Linked DNA regions of Canis lupus familiaris. The protein of the gene in region 1 binds, or shares a complex with, the protein of each later gene. Links are inferred from orthologs where the notes say so. Each region holds a gene or a part of one and is shown in the gene's direction. Other genes may lie near its edges.

Evidence for each region. Proteins that work in one complex are often made in the same cells at the same time.
Region 2: THOC2 (region 1) and SARNP share a complex: the UniProt entries of both Homo sapiens proteins name them as parts of the transcription/export (TREX) complex. The link is inferred for Canis lupus familiaris from reciprocal best matches to the Homo sapiens genes THOC2 and SARNP.
Region 3: the proteins of THOC2 (region 1) and DDX39B are in contact, whole or in part, in a cryo-EM structure (PDB 7APK), measured with the Homo sapiens proteins. The link is inferred for Canis lupus familiaris from reciprocal best matches to the Homo sapiens genes THOC2 and DDX39B. Residues at the interface, in NP_001075019.1 of Homo sapiens: Lys550, Tyr551, Met553, Lys554, Arg555, Leu556, Thr557, Lys558, Glu559, Tyr582, Gln586, Lys589, Tyr590, Asp591, Asn592, Leu593, Pro596; in NP_004631.1 of Homo sapiens: Leu282, Asp283, Val284, Leu285, Glu286, Phe287, Asn288, Gln310, Asn311, Phe312, Pro313, Asp335, Phe336, Gln337, Arg338, Arg339, Arg355, Ile420, Ile424, Glu425.

The regions. Positions count from the first base shown.
Region 1 is NC_049260.1:95,958,311-95,964,005, reverse strand, and holds the start of THOC2 (THO complex subunit 2), read left to right. Parts: upstream 1-2,246; 5' UTR 2,247-2,320; coding exon 2,321-2,391; intron 2,392-5,695. UniProt on the Homo sapiens protein: Component of the THO subcomplex of the TREX complex which is thought to couple mRNA transcription, processing and nuclear export, and which specifically associates with spliced mRNA and not with unspliced pre-mRNA.
Region 2 is NC_049231.1:537,982-542,900, reverse strand, and holds part of SARNP (SAP domain-containing ribonucleoprotein), read left to right. Parts: intron 1-2,512; coding exon 2,513-2,559; intron 2,560-2,782; coding exon 2,783-2,850; intron 2,851-4,919. UniProt on the Homo sapiens protein: Binds both single-stranded and double-stranded DNA with higher affinity for the single-stranded form. Specifically binds to scaffold/matrix attachment region DNA. Also binds single-stranded RNA. Enhances RNA unwinding activity of DDX39A.
Region 3 is NC_049233.1:1,171,246-1,176,164, reverse strand, and holds part of DDX39B (spliceosome RNA helicase DDX39B), read left to right. Parts: intron 1-665; coding exon 666-784; intron 785-3,083; coding exon 3,084-3,215; intron 3,216-3,980; coding exon 3,981-4,090; intron 4,091-4,189; coding exon 4,190-4,334; intron 4,335-4,471; coding exon 4,472-4,619; intron 4,620-4,919. UniProt on the Homo sapiens protein: Involved in nuclear export of spliced and unspliced mRNA. Component of the TREX complex which is thought to couple mRNA transcription, processing and nuclear export, and specifically associates with spliced mRNA and not with unspliced pre-mRNA.

The DNA.
Region 1 (5,695 bases):
GCACATAGTTCAGTGTTTGGAAGGAGAAATCACTGTGATAAAGTGGCAAGGTAAACCACAATACAGCAGAATATTGCCATTGGCTCTCAACAGGGTTATTTGCACTGAAAGAGACATTTTACAATGTCTAGAAAGCCTTTTGTAACAACTGGTGTGTGTTGGGGGGTTATGAACTGCACACCATCCTCCCTGTCCTCTGTAAAGATCTATTTGGACTCAAATGTAAATAATGCCCACTGCTATAGGTTATCCATAAGCAGCAGGAGAGCGTTTCTTGTATCACAAAAGCCATTCTGTAATAAAGATTTCAGATGTTTTTAAGGGAGGATGATGGTGCAATGAGGATTTACTGTGCCTTTCTGTTCATTTTTGAAGAATCCATAATAATGAAAAATGAAAAAAATCAGCGAGCATATCTTTGAACCTCCTTGAAATGGCATAGGGTCTTTACGAACAGATTTCACTGAAACTAAACGGTGTGTATTTTCTAATTAGTGGCTTTAGGACTTCAAAATCAGACAGGACGTTAGGAGACTAGAAATAGCTGATGAAAAACAATCATGAACAATGTAGTATTTTCCCAGAACTTATTCTGAATACAGCCTATCCCTCCAACATCTTTTCAATGCAAATGAACCTGATCCATTTGGTGAAAACTGCCAAATTTAGAAGGTACTAGTTCTAAAGTTCATACTTTAATATATGTGTGATAAGGTTTCCTTCTTTGGTTTGCCTATGCTTTCTAAAATTTCTGCCAAACCCGTATTTTAAAAAACCTAAAAAAAATATTTTATTTATTTATTCATGAGAGACACAGAGAGAGAGAGAGGCAGAGACACAGGCAGAGGGAGAAGCAGGTTCCATGCAAGGAGCCCGATGTGGGACTCGATCCTGGGCCTCCAGGATCACACCCCAGGCTGCAGGCAGCGCTAAACTGCTGCGCCACTGGGGCTGCCCTAAAAAACTTTTTTATTTTGAAAAGTTGCACAAATAGAACAGAAAGTCCCTGCATGTCCTTCACTTAGACTCCTAGCATGTTAATATTTTACATTTTCTTAATCATCCTAGGGTTTTCTTCTGAGACATTTTAGAGTAAGTTGCAACATAATGTCCTATTACCTCTCAGTACTCCAGCGAGTATTTTCTTAAACAAGGACTTTCACATTAACCATAGTACAAGTATAAAAAAAACAAGAAATTTACATTGGTAGAATATCGTTAGTCTACAGATATTCAAATTTTGTCAATTGTCCCAATAATGCCCTTAGCAAAGGAAAAATGATCTTTTTCTGGCTGGGGATCCGTTGTCCTGTCTGTTGTTTCTACTCATCCGGAGGAGTTCCTCAATATGTCTAGATTGTCTTTAGTGACTTTGATGATTTTGAAGAGTGCAAGCCAGTAATTTTGTAGACTGTCCCTCTATGGGTTTGTTTGATGTTCCCTCACGATTGAATTCAGGTTCTGCGAATTTCCGTGTCATGAATGCTACAAAATTGGTTAGTGCTTTTCTTACCACCTTATCAGGAGGCAAATGATGCCCATTCCCGGGTGTGCTGAGTTTTCATCATAATTGGGACGGTGTCCGCCATATTTTCCCACCATAGTTCCTATTTCGCCTTGGAAATAGTATTTTGTCGGGAGATACTTCGAGACTCTGTAATGTAAACAAGTTGTTTCTTATGGTAATTGCGCCCCCTAGTTTTGTCTAAGGTTACGGAGACAGAGGCTGATTACAGTAGGGTGTCAGCGCTGATGGCGGCAAGTGTTTCCAGGGGTCAGTTTCTGCTTGTATCCCTTGTATTAGCATGTCTAGCACATAGTAAATGGCTGCTTATTTTCTGATGAATTTCTTTGATCTCAGCAGTTAGTAGCGTGTATTGTAAATTGATCTTATGTTAGTTTTTCCCACAGACTGTGAGCTCCTTGAGGGTAGGCACAATGACTTAGTGCTTCTCTGTCCCCAGTGTCTAGCACACACTAGGTGCTTGAAAAATACATGTTTGAATTAGTGGCCTGGAGTAGATACTACCGAAGAGGACAAGGGCTATGTGTCGGTCTGGGGAAGGCATTCTTCCTGTTCTAAAGGGAAGCCAGAGCAAGGGTTGTAGAGGGCGCGGTCGGCGTAGTCACGGCCAAGGACCCACGGGTCTCAGCCACCTGGTTGGAGGCCAGGCCTCGGGTTTCCGCGGGTGGGGAAGAAAGTGGGGCGGGAAACCGAAAACCGAACTCGCAGCTCCCGGCATTCCCCGTGGGCGGTGCTCCCCTTTGACCCCTCGCTCGCGTGCTACACATCCGGGCCTCTGCTACTAGTGAGGGGAAGATGGCGGCCGCAACTGTGGTGGTTCCCGTAGAGTGGATAAAGAACTGGGAGAAATCAGGGAGAGGCGAATTGTGAGTGTCCGGGCTGGAGGCGGGCGCACGGCCGGGCCGGGCCCGGGCGTCAGCCGTGCTCTCCCTTGTGGGGAGAGGTTGTGGGGGGAAGATGTGCCCCCTCCCCCATCCGGGCGGCGGGTGTGGAGGGTTGGCTAGGAGTTTCGAACTCGGGGAGGAGAGGTGCTGGTAACCGCCGCCGACCTCCTTCCTTCTCTGGCCTCTCCAAAATCCTCGTTGCCCGCCGTAGGCTGTCTTCCTTTAGTGTCTTAGCAGAACTCCCGTTTCGCCCCTGCGGGTCTACGCGCTCCCGCTCCGTCTTTTTGTCCCCCTCTTCGCTTGAGCTCACTTGGCTCCTTTCTCTTTACGGGGCCGCGCCGGGAGGGGGGGTTCGGACTTTACATCTTTGTGTCCCATTTCTTCACTCTGCACCCGTTCGACTCTGCAGTTTGGAGCCCGACGCCTCCTTTGCCCGAAGTCCGAGGAGGGCGAACCGTCCCGACTCCCTCCCCTCCTCTCCGCCCGCTGCCGCGATGCCCGGGGCGTCGCGAAGAGCCCCGGTTGGCACGTCTCGTCCTCCCGGGGAGCGGTCTTTCGGATTGTCCCGGCCTCGCGCGGCGCCGCTGGCCGTGGGAGAAGTGTAGCTGGGATTGCCGCTTTCCCACGAAGACCTACCGGCATTTCTTTGCTCCGGCTTTTCACTTTAGAGCCATTTCGGTTTTGATTCAACTTTCGTCATTAAATGTTTCTTAAACCCCATTTTGTCCTGGGACTGCAACTAATTTTGGCGACTCTCAGGGTTCTCAAGTACCTGGAATAACGCGTTCCCTTTAGTCATAAAACTTGTTTTTTTCCCCTGGTAATACAGAAAACAGTAATTTGCCATACCCGCGGTTTCCTCGCCCCAAATTTCAGTTCGCGCTCCCTCGGAAAGAAAGGAATCGTTTAAGCAGTAAAACCCCAGATTCAAAAACAAAGAATTTATTTCTAATTTCGTTCTCTGAATCGCTTTATTAACCAAAGCTCAACGCTGTATGAGCTAACTCTCGTTAGCCATTTTTGCGGTCGGCCGCCCCCTCCCCCCATAGTTTACGGTTGCTCGCGCGAAAGATAACGAATCTTTGGAACTTCGTTACTTCGAACGAAACCCGGGGAATGCGTTGCCCGATCTTGCGCGTGTGATATTGCCAGCTTGTATGGACTCCTCCTTCTCCCCTCCCGCGCCCTCCCTCCCCCCGGCTCCACGCGCACTCGCACTCGCGCTGCTTTACCAAGTCTTAACTGTGTGAGCTCTAGAATTGTATTTCCTGGATAAGCGGCGGTCTTAGCCACTTAACTAGCTGAGTGACCTTGGGTAAGTTCCTTAACCACTTTGACCGTTTCCCCTTGAGTAAATTGGGATTAATAAGTACTCTATTCAAAGGATTGTTGTGAAGACTAAATAATACCTGTAAAGCACTTGGCTTATAGTAAGTGCTCAAGTGATAGCTATTAAAAGTAATATTATTATTCCAATCTTTAGATATTTAAACTTCTCTGGACAGCTCTTGCTCTTAAAGTCTGTACCACTCAGGTTAGCAATTAATTGGTCTTTGACTTACTGCTGCATACTCTTGTACTCTAACGAATTGAGAGACCCTTGAAGAGTGGGGACTATGTTTCATATTTAGTTTGGTCGCCCCTCCCACGCCGTCCCCCCACTGCAGGCCCCAGCTCCCGCCTCACTCCCCCTCGCCTTTCTAGCATATGCTTGGAGTGAGAGCTTTTTGGTTTATTAAATGAGATGTCTATTTGATAAACATTCATTTTTAACTGTTAGGAACATTTTCCAGATCCTTGTACATGCCATTTAACAAATTAAGCTATTAAGTTCCTTGTGTGCAGGGAAGGCAGAACGGGAGGTTACCTAAACCATCGTTTTCATCTATATTAGATTAGGATAACCTCCCCAAACTGATAAATCAGTTCACTATTTTGTTTACTTATTTAGGGCCTGTCATCTTCATAGATTGCTCAGCTTCCTTGTTACATCTGTTTTTGACAGTTTTATTATTGCTTTTACCTTAGAATGAGTGGTATTAGGGCTAGGAGGTGAAAATCTGAATTCTGATTGGCTTCTTGGCAGTGGTTGGAGAAAAATAGTGATGTAGGAGGTTGAAATACGTTGTCAAAATGAGATTTTGGATACACTGTGTGTATATTTGCATAATCCATGCTATGTGTATTGTTCCTGAAGAGCTTTTTCAAAACTGTTAGGGCTTATTTGTATGTAGTTACTCCATGACGTGAGGAATGTTGTTTGAATTATAGTAGATCCAAATCAGTGTAGTTTTATAATTGTATTCTGTTATATGAAGAGAGCATAAGGTGGTCAGTTGTATGACATAATCGGATATTTTAAATAGACAAACACATCATCATCCAGTACTTAGGCTTCATTTATTTGACTCCTTTCCCCTCTTTGAAAACTTGGTTGCATGTAGTCTAACTTCAGAGTTCTTGTATCTAGCATTTCATTTTATTAGAATGAATGGGGTTGTAAATATATTACCCAAAATCTTTTCCTTTGTCTGAAAACAGAGCTTCTTAAATATAAACTAGCAACTAGAAATGTTAAAAAATGAAGTTAATGTGCCAACAGATAATTAGCAAATCCATTTATAGATTTGGCTTTTAGAATAGGACCAATATTGTAAAATACACAAGAAAGGTGAACATTCCAAAGAATTAGAGTACAGAGAACTCTCAATGGTTTCACTTGCAGACATATTCCCTGAATATTAATTTAAAACAAATCAAGGCACCTGGGTGGCTCAGTGGTTGAGTGTTTGCCTTTGGCTGGGGTTGTGACGCTGGGGTCCTGAGATCGAGTCCTGCATGGGGCTCCTTCAGCCTATTGCTCTGCCTCTCTCTCTGTCTCATGAATAAATAAATTAAAATCTTAAAAAAAAATAAATGCAAACATTTGAATTCTGCCACATATGAAGGATACGGATTTAATCACTTTAATTTTGGAAATAGAGTTTTAGTTTCTTGACAACTTCATTCTAGCATAGGACTTGCTATGATTATACTAATAAACTTGCATGTACTGGTAGATACAGTGGTGAAGTTTGTTTTTAGTAAAATTGTTAACACGGGGAACTCAGCATTTCTTTGTGTCACAAGCAACCTTAATGGATTTATGTTCCACGGTGTTAATCTGAAGATGTTAGCCTCATGTCCATACCTGGTCTAATTTTGAGATATTTTATTATATATTATCTATTTGTTAGAAGAACTTAATTATTTTAGTTTTTAAAAATTTACATATCAATTTGAAATT
Region 2 (4,919 bases), on another chromosome or scaffold:
GGGATTAATTTTTAGGCTCTGTCATGTGGAAGATTTCTCCTTTTCCTTTAAGCTGTTGGTGATATAAGCTCTTTTTTTAATTAAAAATTTTTTAAAGATTTTATTTATTTATTCATGAGAGACACAGAGAGAGAGGCAGAGACACAGGCAGAGGGAGAAGCAGGCTGCATGCAGGGAACCCGATGTGGGACTCGATCCTGGGACTGGGATCACATCCTGAGCTGAAGGCAGATGCTCAACCACTGAGCCACCCAGGCATCCTGATATAAGCTCTTTTTTTTTTTTTTTTTTTTTTTTTTTTTAAATTTTTATTTATTTATGATAGTCACAGAGAGAGAGAGAGAGAGAGAGAGGCAGAGACACAGGCAGAGGGAGAAGCAGGCTCCATGCACCGGGAGCCCGATGTGGGATTCGATCCCGGGTCTCCAGGATCGCGCCCTGGGCCAAAGGCAGGCACCAAACCGCTGCGCCACCCAGGGATCCCCTGATATAAGCTCTTAATTAACTGTATCAAAACTCTTGATCATCCAAAACAGTGGTTATAATGCAAAGAAATATACTCCTCCCCTTTTTTTTAAGACACTAATTTTATTTCAGTAAATTGTTTAAAAGGAAGTATGCTAAAACAGGTATCATTAGATTGAAAATTGGGAGATTTGAATTCTGCTACCTCTTATGCCAGAAAGTTACTCATAACTTTGAATAGTCACTGTTTAAGTGACTAGGTGTCTGTTCTGATCTATGCAATGAGACAAACGTTTCCATACTTGAAATTGGTAAATCTAAGGAATCTCTGGTTCCTTCTAACTCTGACATTCTATAATTCCACTTTTTAAAAAATAAACAAAACCAGCTTTATTTAAGGCATATTATCATTCCAGGTTGTACAAGTTCCTGCTAATTTTTATTTATTCCCTTTTATTGCTTTTACCCCAACTCCTGTAAGCAGCTATTCTAATGTGCTTGATATGTATTTTTTGTCTTTGTCCTTGTAAACCATGTAGTGTTGTTTGGAATACAATGTTTTTATGTAATTGGTAGTGAGGCCATAGCCTTACTTTAGTTCTCACTTTTTTTCTCTAAGTACTGTGTTTTTTTTTTTTGTTTTTTTGTTTTTTTGTTTGTTTTTTAAGATACATTCATATCTGTGTGGCTATGGCTGTGTAGTCACCTAGTCTACTGATTCAAATTCCTGGATAGTGTTCTATCATGTATGGAATCCACTACGTTTTACTTAATTCACCTAGTAACAAACACCTATATTGCCTCCTAGACTACTACTTTCATATTCTTTTATATTTCTTGGTGAGTGTCTTTCTAGGGTATACACCCAGGAGTGGGATTACCAGTTAATATCTATTCATAAGGTATTCCTGATATGATTAAGCACTGCCAAATTATTTTCCAAAATTGCTCTGTAAATCTACAGTGCCATCATCAGTGCATGAGGGTTCTTGTATCTCCTCCACACACCTAAACTTGGCACTATCCTGTTAAGTGGCTTCATTTTCATTAAACTGTTGGTTCAATTTACATTCCTCTAGTTATTAAAAAGTTTGAACATTTCTTGTGTTCATGGTTTGTAGGGTTTTTCCTTTGCCGTTTTTCTTTTGGGGTTCCCATAATTCACTTGTTAGTTTGCAGACATTTCTTTTATATTCTGGTAGCTGTTCCCTGTTGGTCTTAAACACAAATACTCTCTTTGTCATTTGTTTCTTTTCCCATGGTGTCTTAGTTTTGGAAAATCTGCAATTTTTCATATATAACTTTTATTTTTTTATTTTTGGTTTTTTTTTTTTTTAAATTTTTATTTATTTATGATAGTCACAGAGAGAGAGAGAGAGAGGCAGAGACATAGGCAGAGGGAGAAGCAGGCTCCATGCACCGGGAGCCCGACGGGGATTCGATCCCGGGTCTCCAAGATCGCGCCCTGGGCCAAAGGCAGGCGCTAAACCGCTGCGCCATCCAGGGATCCCCATATATAACTTTTACTTCAGTGTTTGGTTTTGTTGTTTTGTTTTGTTAAGATTTATTTATTTATTTATTCACGAGAGACAGAGACATAGGCAGAGGGAGAAGCAGGCTCCATGCAGGGAGCCTGACATGGGACTTGATCCTGGTTCTCCAGGATCATGCCCTGGGCTGAAGGTGGCACTAAACTGCTGGGCCACTGGGGCTACCCTGCAGTGTTTTTTGTTTTTTTGTTTTTTTTTTTTTAGAAATCCCTCCTCACCACTAAATATTAAAGATATTCTCTGTAACATTAATGTTATAGTTTGACCTTATTATGGTTTTTCAGTGCAGCTGGAGTTCAACTTTGTATTAATGTTAGGTAGAGAATAATACGGCTTTATCTTTTCCATGTGGAGCAGATTTTATGAGCATCAGATCTGCCTTCAACTATTGAATTTTATTTTGGGAAAGCAAAATGATTATAATTTTAGCCTAAGTACAGTGATCAAGATGGTTTTTTTTTAGCAGGGCTTGACCTGAATATTTTAATATTCTTTAGCTGAAGAGGAGGCAAATGAAGAAGATGTTCTGGGAGATGAAACAGAGGTGAGTTGGAGAGAGTAAGGTTAGTCACTGGCCTGGCAACATGTTGATACCTTGGCCACATTGCTTACCATCAATCATTAGAGGGCTTAAATGCTAACTTGTTAGGGGAGCATAGAGGGGGGAATGAAGGTTCTGAAAAACTGGTTCATTTTTGAGTTCTAATACTCTTATTGTTGGGTACTTACTGTTGGTTTATATTAACCATTATTTCATTTGGTTTTAGGAAGAAGAACCAAAGCCCATAGAACTACCTGTCAAAGAGGAAGAACCTCCTGAGAAAACTGTTGATGTGTAACTATCCCTTTTTTATGATCTGAGTAAGGGCAGATAGTTCTGGGTTTTGGAGGGGTTTAGTCTTTCACTCTCTTTACTTCTTAAACCTTTCCATTGGCTTTTTCATTTTTTATTAGATCATACATTTTCAGAACATGGTCCCAGTGAAGCAAAGTGGTTTGTCTCTGGGTTATGTAATAGATAACTAGGACCAGGAAACTTCAATCTCAGACAGAGTTTAGTTCTAGCCTTTGTTGTAGGACCATAATGGATGATTCTTTTTCTGTATAAACATCTAGATTTTCCTGTGAATAAGGAATTTTGTAAGGGAGGATGGTTCTGAGCAGAGATAATGTCTTTTAGGTAACACTTTATTCTCTCTCCCTTTTTGATTTACAGTGGAAGAAGGGAAGACAAAGTACTAGAGTAGAAAGTGGACCTTATTTAAACTATCCCACAGGGCAGCCCGAGTGGCTCAGCAGTTTGGCACCGCCTTCGGCCCAGGGCCTGATCCTGGAGACCTGGGATCAAGTTCCGCGTCGGGCTCCCTGCATGGAGCCTGCTTCTCCCTCTGCCTCTCTCTCTCTCTCTCTGTGTCTCTCATGAATAAATAAAATCTTAAAAAAAAAAAAAAAAACTATCCCACAGGTTGATCATAAACCTCTTTTTTGAGGGCTGTCAAATCCAGTAATTAATAACCGTTGAATCCTTTTTAACATTTTTGTTCCTCATAGCTGTATTTATGCATTTAATTATAAAAAATGATATATGTGCTTGTGATAAGTCAAATACTATGTAGATAAGTATATAAACCGAAAATTATGTACCTCTTCTCTCTACTCCCATCTGACTTTCCAGAGGTTTTCAATATATTTCTTTAGAATGTTATATGGAGAGTTTGTGTATGTATGCATGTACAGATACATACATACATACACTAGGCATATTGTGGGTTTCTTGATTATTCTCATGTGTTTTTATAGTCATTATATAATAATTGTTTTTTTTTTTTAATTTTATTTATTTATTCATGAGAGACACAGAGAGAGGCAGAGACACAGGCAGAGGGAGAAGCAGGCTCCACTCAGGAAGCCCAACATGGGACTTGATCCCGGGTCCCCAGGAGCACACCCCGGGCTGCAGGCGGCACTAAACCGCTGCTCCACTGGGGCTACCTTATAATAATGTTTTTATTAAAATGTTATATACAAGGCAGGATTATTTTTTTTAAGATTTTATTTATTCATCAGAGACAGAGAGAGAGAGAGGCAGAGACACAGGCAGAGGGAGAAGCAGGCTCCACGAAGGGAGCCTGATGTGGGACTTGATCCGGGGACTCCAGGATCACACCCTGGGTGGAAGGCAGGTGCTCAACCGCTGAGCCATCCAGGGATCCCCACAAGGCAGGATTCTAAGTGCTTTGCATGTATTCCCATTTAGTCCTCACATCAACCGTATGAAATGGTGTAATTATCTTTCTAAGTGGTAGGTCTCTTTTTTTAGCTTGCTATTGTGGGAAATGGCAAGTATATATACAAGTTATGAGAACAGTATAATAGACCTGTATGTACTGCTCACCCAGATTTAGTAGTTATCAACATAGAACCTTATTCTTCTAGCAGCTAATAGTACTCCATTCTATTGATGAACAGTAATTTCAAACCAGTCTCCTGTTGATGGACATTTAGGTAATTCATAATAGCAAAAAATGCAGTGCTGCGTGTCTTTAAGCAGCTATATTTATACTTATGCAAGTGTGTCCATGCGATAAATTCCCTGCAGTGGATTTGCTGCATCACAGGGGATATACATTTAATGTTTCATTAGATTTTATCTAATAATACTGCTTTTGGTGGGAGGAAAGGGGCAGAAGGAAAGAGAGAATCTTAAGCAGGCTCCATGCCCAGCACAGAGCCTGATGTGGGGGTTGATTTCACAGCTCTGAGATGATGACCTGAGCTGAAATCCAAATCAAGATTTAGATGCTTAACTGACCAAGCTACCCAGGCACCCCTAATAATATTGCTTTTTAAAGCCATCTAGTTATCTTCCATCATAGGAGGTTTACGTTTAGATATAATGCCTTA
Region 3 (4,919 bases), on another chromosome or scaffold:
TGGGATTTTCTGTAATTCAGTGTTCCACAAGAAAGGAAAATTGTAACTCACATTTAATAAATGAGTGGAAAATTGGAACTCACATTTAATAAATGAGGGAGTGGGGATGGACTTAGCCCCAGGGATAAGTAGTTCCAAGTGACCTTCGGTTATTTTAGATGGTGAACTATAAGATGGGCTCTGGGTAGAGGTCTTATTTGCCTGGCTGGATAGGACAGTGATCCAGAGGAAGCATGGACTAGACTTTGACAACTAGAATATAATTATGTGTGCAGTATTTGTAGACAGTTGGGGTGTGGGGAGAAAGTAGGGAGAAGGGCCTTGTAAAGCATCTCTCAAGGGTCTTAGGTTTGTGAGCCTCTGCAGTAGACTTCATCTCCATATCATACTTGTGAGATTTGGAGTTTCATTATCTTCTTGCCTGGCTAAAACACATAGTGCTGAAATTTGGTTCTAGGTCTTTATTTGAAATTTTCCATGTGTTACTGCAATGGATGTGATTTTACGGTGGTTCGTGTAAATAGAGTACCTGAGACAAATCTTTGTGGGAAATGGCTCTTGCTTACCTGTTTCCAGCAGTTTCACCTCACTGGGGAGGCTGTCTCCGGTCTTTGTCTATGACATTTCCTTCTTTCCTTCTAGGATTTTTTTCCTTTTTCTTGTAGACATGCGTCGGGATGTCCAGGAAATTTTTCGCATGACCCCCCATGAGAAGCAGGTCATGATGTTCAGTGCTACCTTGAGCAAAGAGATCCGTCCTGTCTGCCGCAAGTTCATGCAAGACGTAAATACCCTTCTACCTTCTCTCCCTCCACTCCCCGCCCACTGCCTCCTCCCCTTCTGCGCCCTCTTCCTCCAGACTCCCTTGTCCTTCAAATGCCAAGAAGGGGGCACGTGCCCATCTGGGAGTGATGACTCCTTGAAGAGACACACAGAGGCAGAGACAGCTAGTGTTAGGGTCTGCGCGGGTGCCAGGGAAACTCCGGAAGACTTGGTCGGGTTAACTTGAGAGCGGGTAGTGTTCGACCTTTTTTTTTTTTTTTTTTTCATCACAGCATTTTTGAACCTCTTCTTCCTTTTTGGGGGAGGGCAGGATTTTCTGCCCTACTACCCACCCATCGTCTCCTACATACCCCTTTACAGCCACGCACCCTCAAGGTGGCATGGAGCAGACAGTTGGAGCCTTCTGCTCCCCAAAACTCAACCCCCCGGTGGCAGGAGAGCAAGAGAGGGACAGACAGATGGCAGGGCATGTCCAAAAGAAGAGCAAACAGCACAAATGAATCCGCTCCCTCCCCACCTCCAGGGGTGGGGGCCTTTGGCACCTCAGTCCCCGATCCCTTACTCCTTCCGTCCATACCTCCTCGCACCCATCCGGAATCTCGGCTGATGTGAGCCGGCAGCGGAGAAGCACCATGGAACGGCGGGGGAAATGCAGACGGCACCCAGCGGTGGATGGCGGCAGCGGAGGCCGCGGGGAAACCTGACCAGGAAGCTGAGGACCAAACCAGCCTCTTTTTCTGTTCCCGGTTTTTTTCCTGAATCCAAGGCGTGCCGTGCTCCCTGTTTTTCCCCATATGTGTTGGGGGGAGGGGTGTCCTGAAACGGGGGGTAGTTTTTTTTCTTTTTTAAAACAATTTTTTAATACTCCAAGGAGAGGGATATGGGAAAAGTAATGTGAGGAGCTCCACTTGGATGTAACCAGGTGGGTGTTAGGGTTTGGCACTAGACGGGCCCTATTGTATAAACAGTGCAGTGTATTCTTTCTTATCCTGTACTGCTCCTTCCCGTGGGATGTCAGTTACCTTTAGTTATACTTGGGGCTAGATTTGAAGGAGGCCATGAAGCTTCATTTTGAAAAGCCTGCTTTTGCAAGCCTGCTTTCTGGGATTGGGCTTCTGGTTCTCTCCCGTGCCACTCATCCTTTCCTGAAACCTTGGGCCCTGGGTGTTCATGTTAATTATGTCCCCAGGTTAGTGAAGAGTGCTAGGAAACTTGGACTCAGGAGTTGAGTCTTGTGTCAGTTTGTTTTTTTTTTGCTATCTTCCTCCCCTTAAAGGGTTTTATGTGTGCGTGCGTGTGTGTATGTGTGTGTATATACATATATACATATATATGTGTGTGTATATATATATATATATACATATATATATTACAAGATGGTTGTATATCTGCTGCTCTGAATTTGTTTCTTAACACCATTTATTGGTACTGTCCATGTAACACTAGTTGATTTGACTCCTAGTTCAGAGACCAGTGCCATCTGAACTATTCCCTTGTGGTCTGAGGGCGAGTTATTACTCATCCTGAGTAACTTTTCATGGTATTTTTGACTATGTTCATTTTAGCATTCTGATCTTGACAGATAATCCACCCTCCTGATGTGGATCTGATTCTCTTAGTTGTTTGGTTTTTTCCTTAATATTTTATGTATTGATTTGAGAGAGAGCAAGCACAAGCAGGTGGAGGAGCAGAGGGAGAGGGAGAAGCAGATCCCCACTGAGGAGGGAGCCTGACTCGGAGCTTGATCCTAGGACCCTGAGATTATGACCTGAGCCGAAGGCAGACGCCTAACCGATTGAGCCACCCAGGTGCCCCCTGATTCTCTTAGTTGGGAGAATACTCAAATGAAGCAATCCCTGTCTTCCCCTCTATTTTTACAACCAATAGTGGTGGAATTCCTGACCTCGAGTCACCATGTCCACCAATTCCCAGGTGTTTGGATTACATTTTCCCTTTGGGGATCCTCTCCCATTGTTTTCTTTCCTCTGCTACCTCCTTTTGAGGTCATGGCATCTTGCCATTGGGTGGTCTCACTGCTCCTTTTCAAACTCCTTGCCAGGTTACCTTCCCGTGATACTTGGGCAATCTTAAAACAACTGCTAGGAAGGAAATTAGAGCTAACGTGGAAGAGACCACATTAAAATGAGGATATTTTTGGGGGTGTGGTGGGGTTTTCAGTCTTCTCTTTTCCCATCCCCCAATGGGGTGTTTTGGAGATCAAGTTCCTCCACCCCCCCAGGTTTAACCCCCCCACTCTGCCCTCCTCCCGTTCCCCCCCTACTCCCCCCTCCCTCCCCCAGCCAATGGAGATCTTCGTGGATGATGAGACGAAGCTGACGCTGCATGGGTTGCAGCAGTACTACGTGAAACTGAAGGACAACGAGAAGAACCGGAAGCTCTTTGACCTTCTCGATGTCCTTGAGTTCAATCAGGTCAGTTGTTCAAAGTCCAGTAGGGGGATGAGCACGTCTCCAACTGTAGCAGAAACCTGGTTAAGTACCTTTTTGTTGAGGATATGACATAGGTGATGTGAGCGAGAACAGTGGGGAAATTACCTTCAAATGAAATTCTTTTAAATGAGAATTTAAGTGCCTTTGGTGCTGAGTGTGAACAAGATGGGAGCTGCTGTTCTGTTCTTTGGCTGTCACAGCCAGGTATTGAGTAAAGAAAAATCTCAAAATCCTTGAGAGGATTTCATAAACTTGTAAAAGTTCCAAAATATCTTGGGTTTCTTGGGTTTTTAAAATTTGTTTTTTCTTGTACTGTTTACTGAGAAGAAATGTTCCATACTTTACCTGCTGTGGTTCGTTTGCACCAAAAACTTTCTAAAATTAAGGTAAATTGCATATGTTTGATGTTTTTGATGAGCAGAAACTACTCTCCACACTTTAAATTTTTTTTTTCCACACTTTAAATTTTTACCACTTTCATTTTTACCATTAGCTTCATCCTTGTCTCCCTAACATATCTGGTAGTTTTAGTTACTTTTCTCTGTATCTTCTCTTCAGCATGTCTGCTCAGGAAAAATCAGAACTGAGTGAGAAAGGCTAAGTTGTATTTAGAACAGAAGAGGAATATGTAATGGGGATTGGAGAAGTTTCAGGAAGAGTAAAAGAGTAGTTACTGAAAACTCTTCTCACACTTAATCTCTCACTTATCCCACATGGACCCATGTCCCCCAACTGTCACACACCCAGGTGGTGATCTTTGTGAAGTCTGTGCAGCGTTGCATTGCCCTCGCCCAGCTGCTGGTAGAGCAGAACTTCCCAGCCATTGCCATCCACCGAGGGATGCCCCAGGAGGAGAGGTAAGTCAGAAATGGAAAGATGTTTTGTGTCCTTGGGAAGGAAAAGAGACCGTTGAAGCGAAGGGACTCAGTATTTTTCTAATTTCCTTTCTCACGAAGGCTTTCTCGGTATCAGCAGTTTAAAGATTTTCAACGACGAATTCTTGTGGCTACCAACCTATTTGGCCGAGGCATGGACATTGAGCGGGTGAACATTGCCTTCAACTATGACATGCCTGAGGATTCTGACACTTACCTGCATCGGGTAAGCTCCACACCCACACGTGCATTCCAGTGTCCCCTCCCCCTGATTTTGTATCTTCATACCTGATAGCCTCTCCCTTCTTTTTGGATGTCTTCCTACTTCGGGATCTCCCAGGACTATCCTCTGTCTCCTTCCAGGTGGCCCGAGCAGGCCGGTTTGGCACCAAGGGCTTGGCCATCACATTTGTATCAGATGAAAATGATGCCAAGATCCTCAATGATGTGCAGGATCGCTTTGAAGTCAATATTAGTGAGCTGCCAGATGAGATAGACATTTCCTCTTACAGTGAGTATGGATCTTAAGAAACTGGCTCAACTCTTCAGTCTCCTTGTTCCTTAGTGTGTTTGTCTTAAATCCCATCATGTACACAAAGAGCCTCTAGTGTGTAACAGGCACTTAATTATGTCCTTTGGATCTTGATGCCCCTGCTGGGATGTTTAGTTGATCTGTATGTCTCTTTTCTTAACAAGCTAGTTTATTTTTCCCTACCCCCAGTCTATCCTTTGCACCCACAAACTACAGACATCTGCATGTAGTGGGGGGTGGGGGCATGTTTTCTGCCAGCCTTGCCTTTTCCATGTCTTG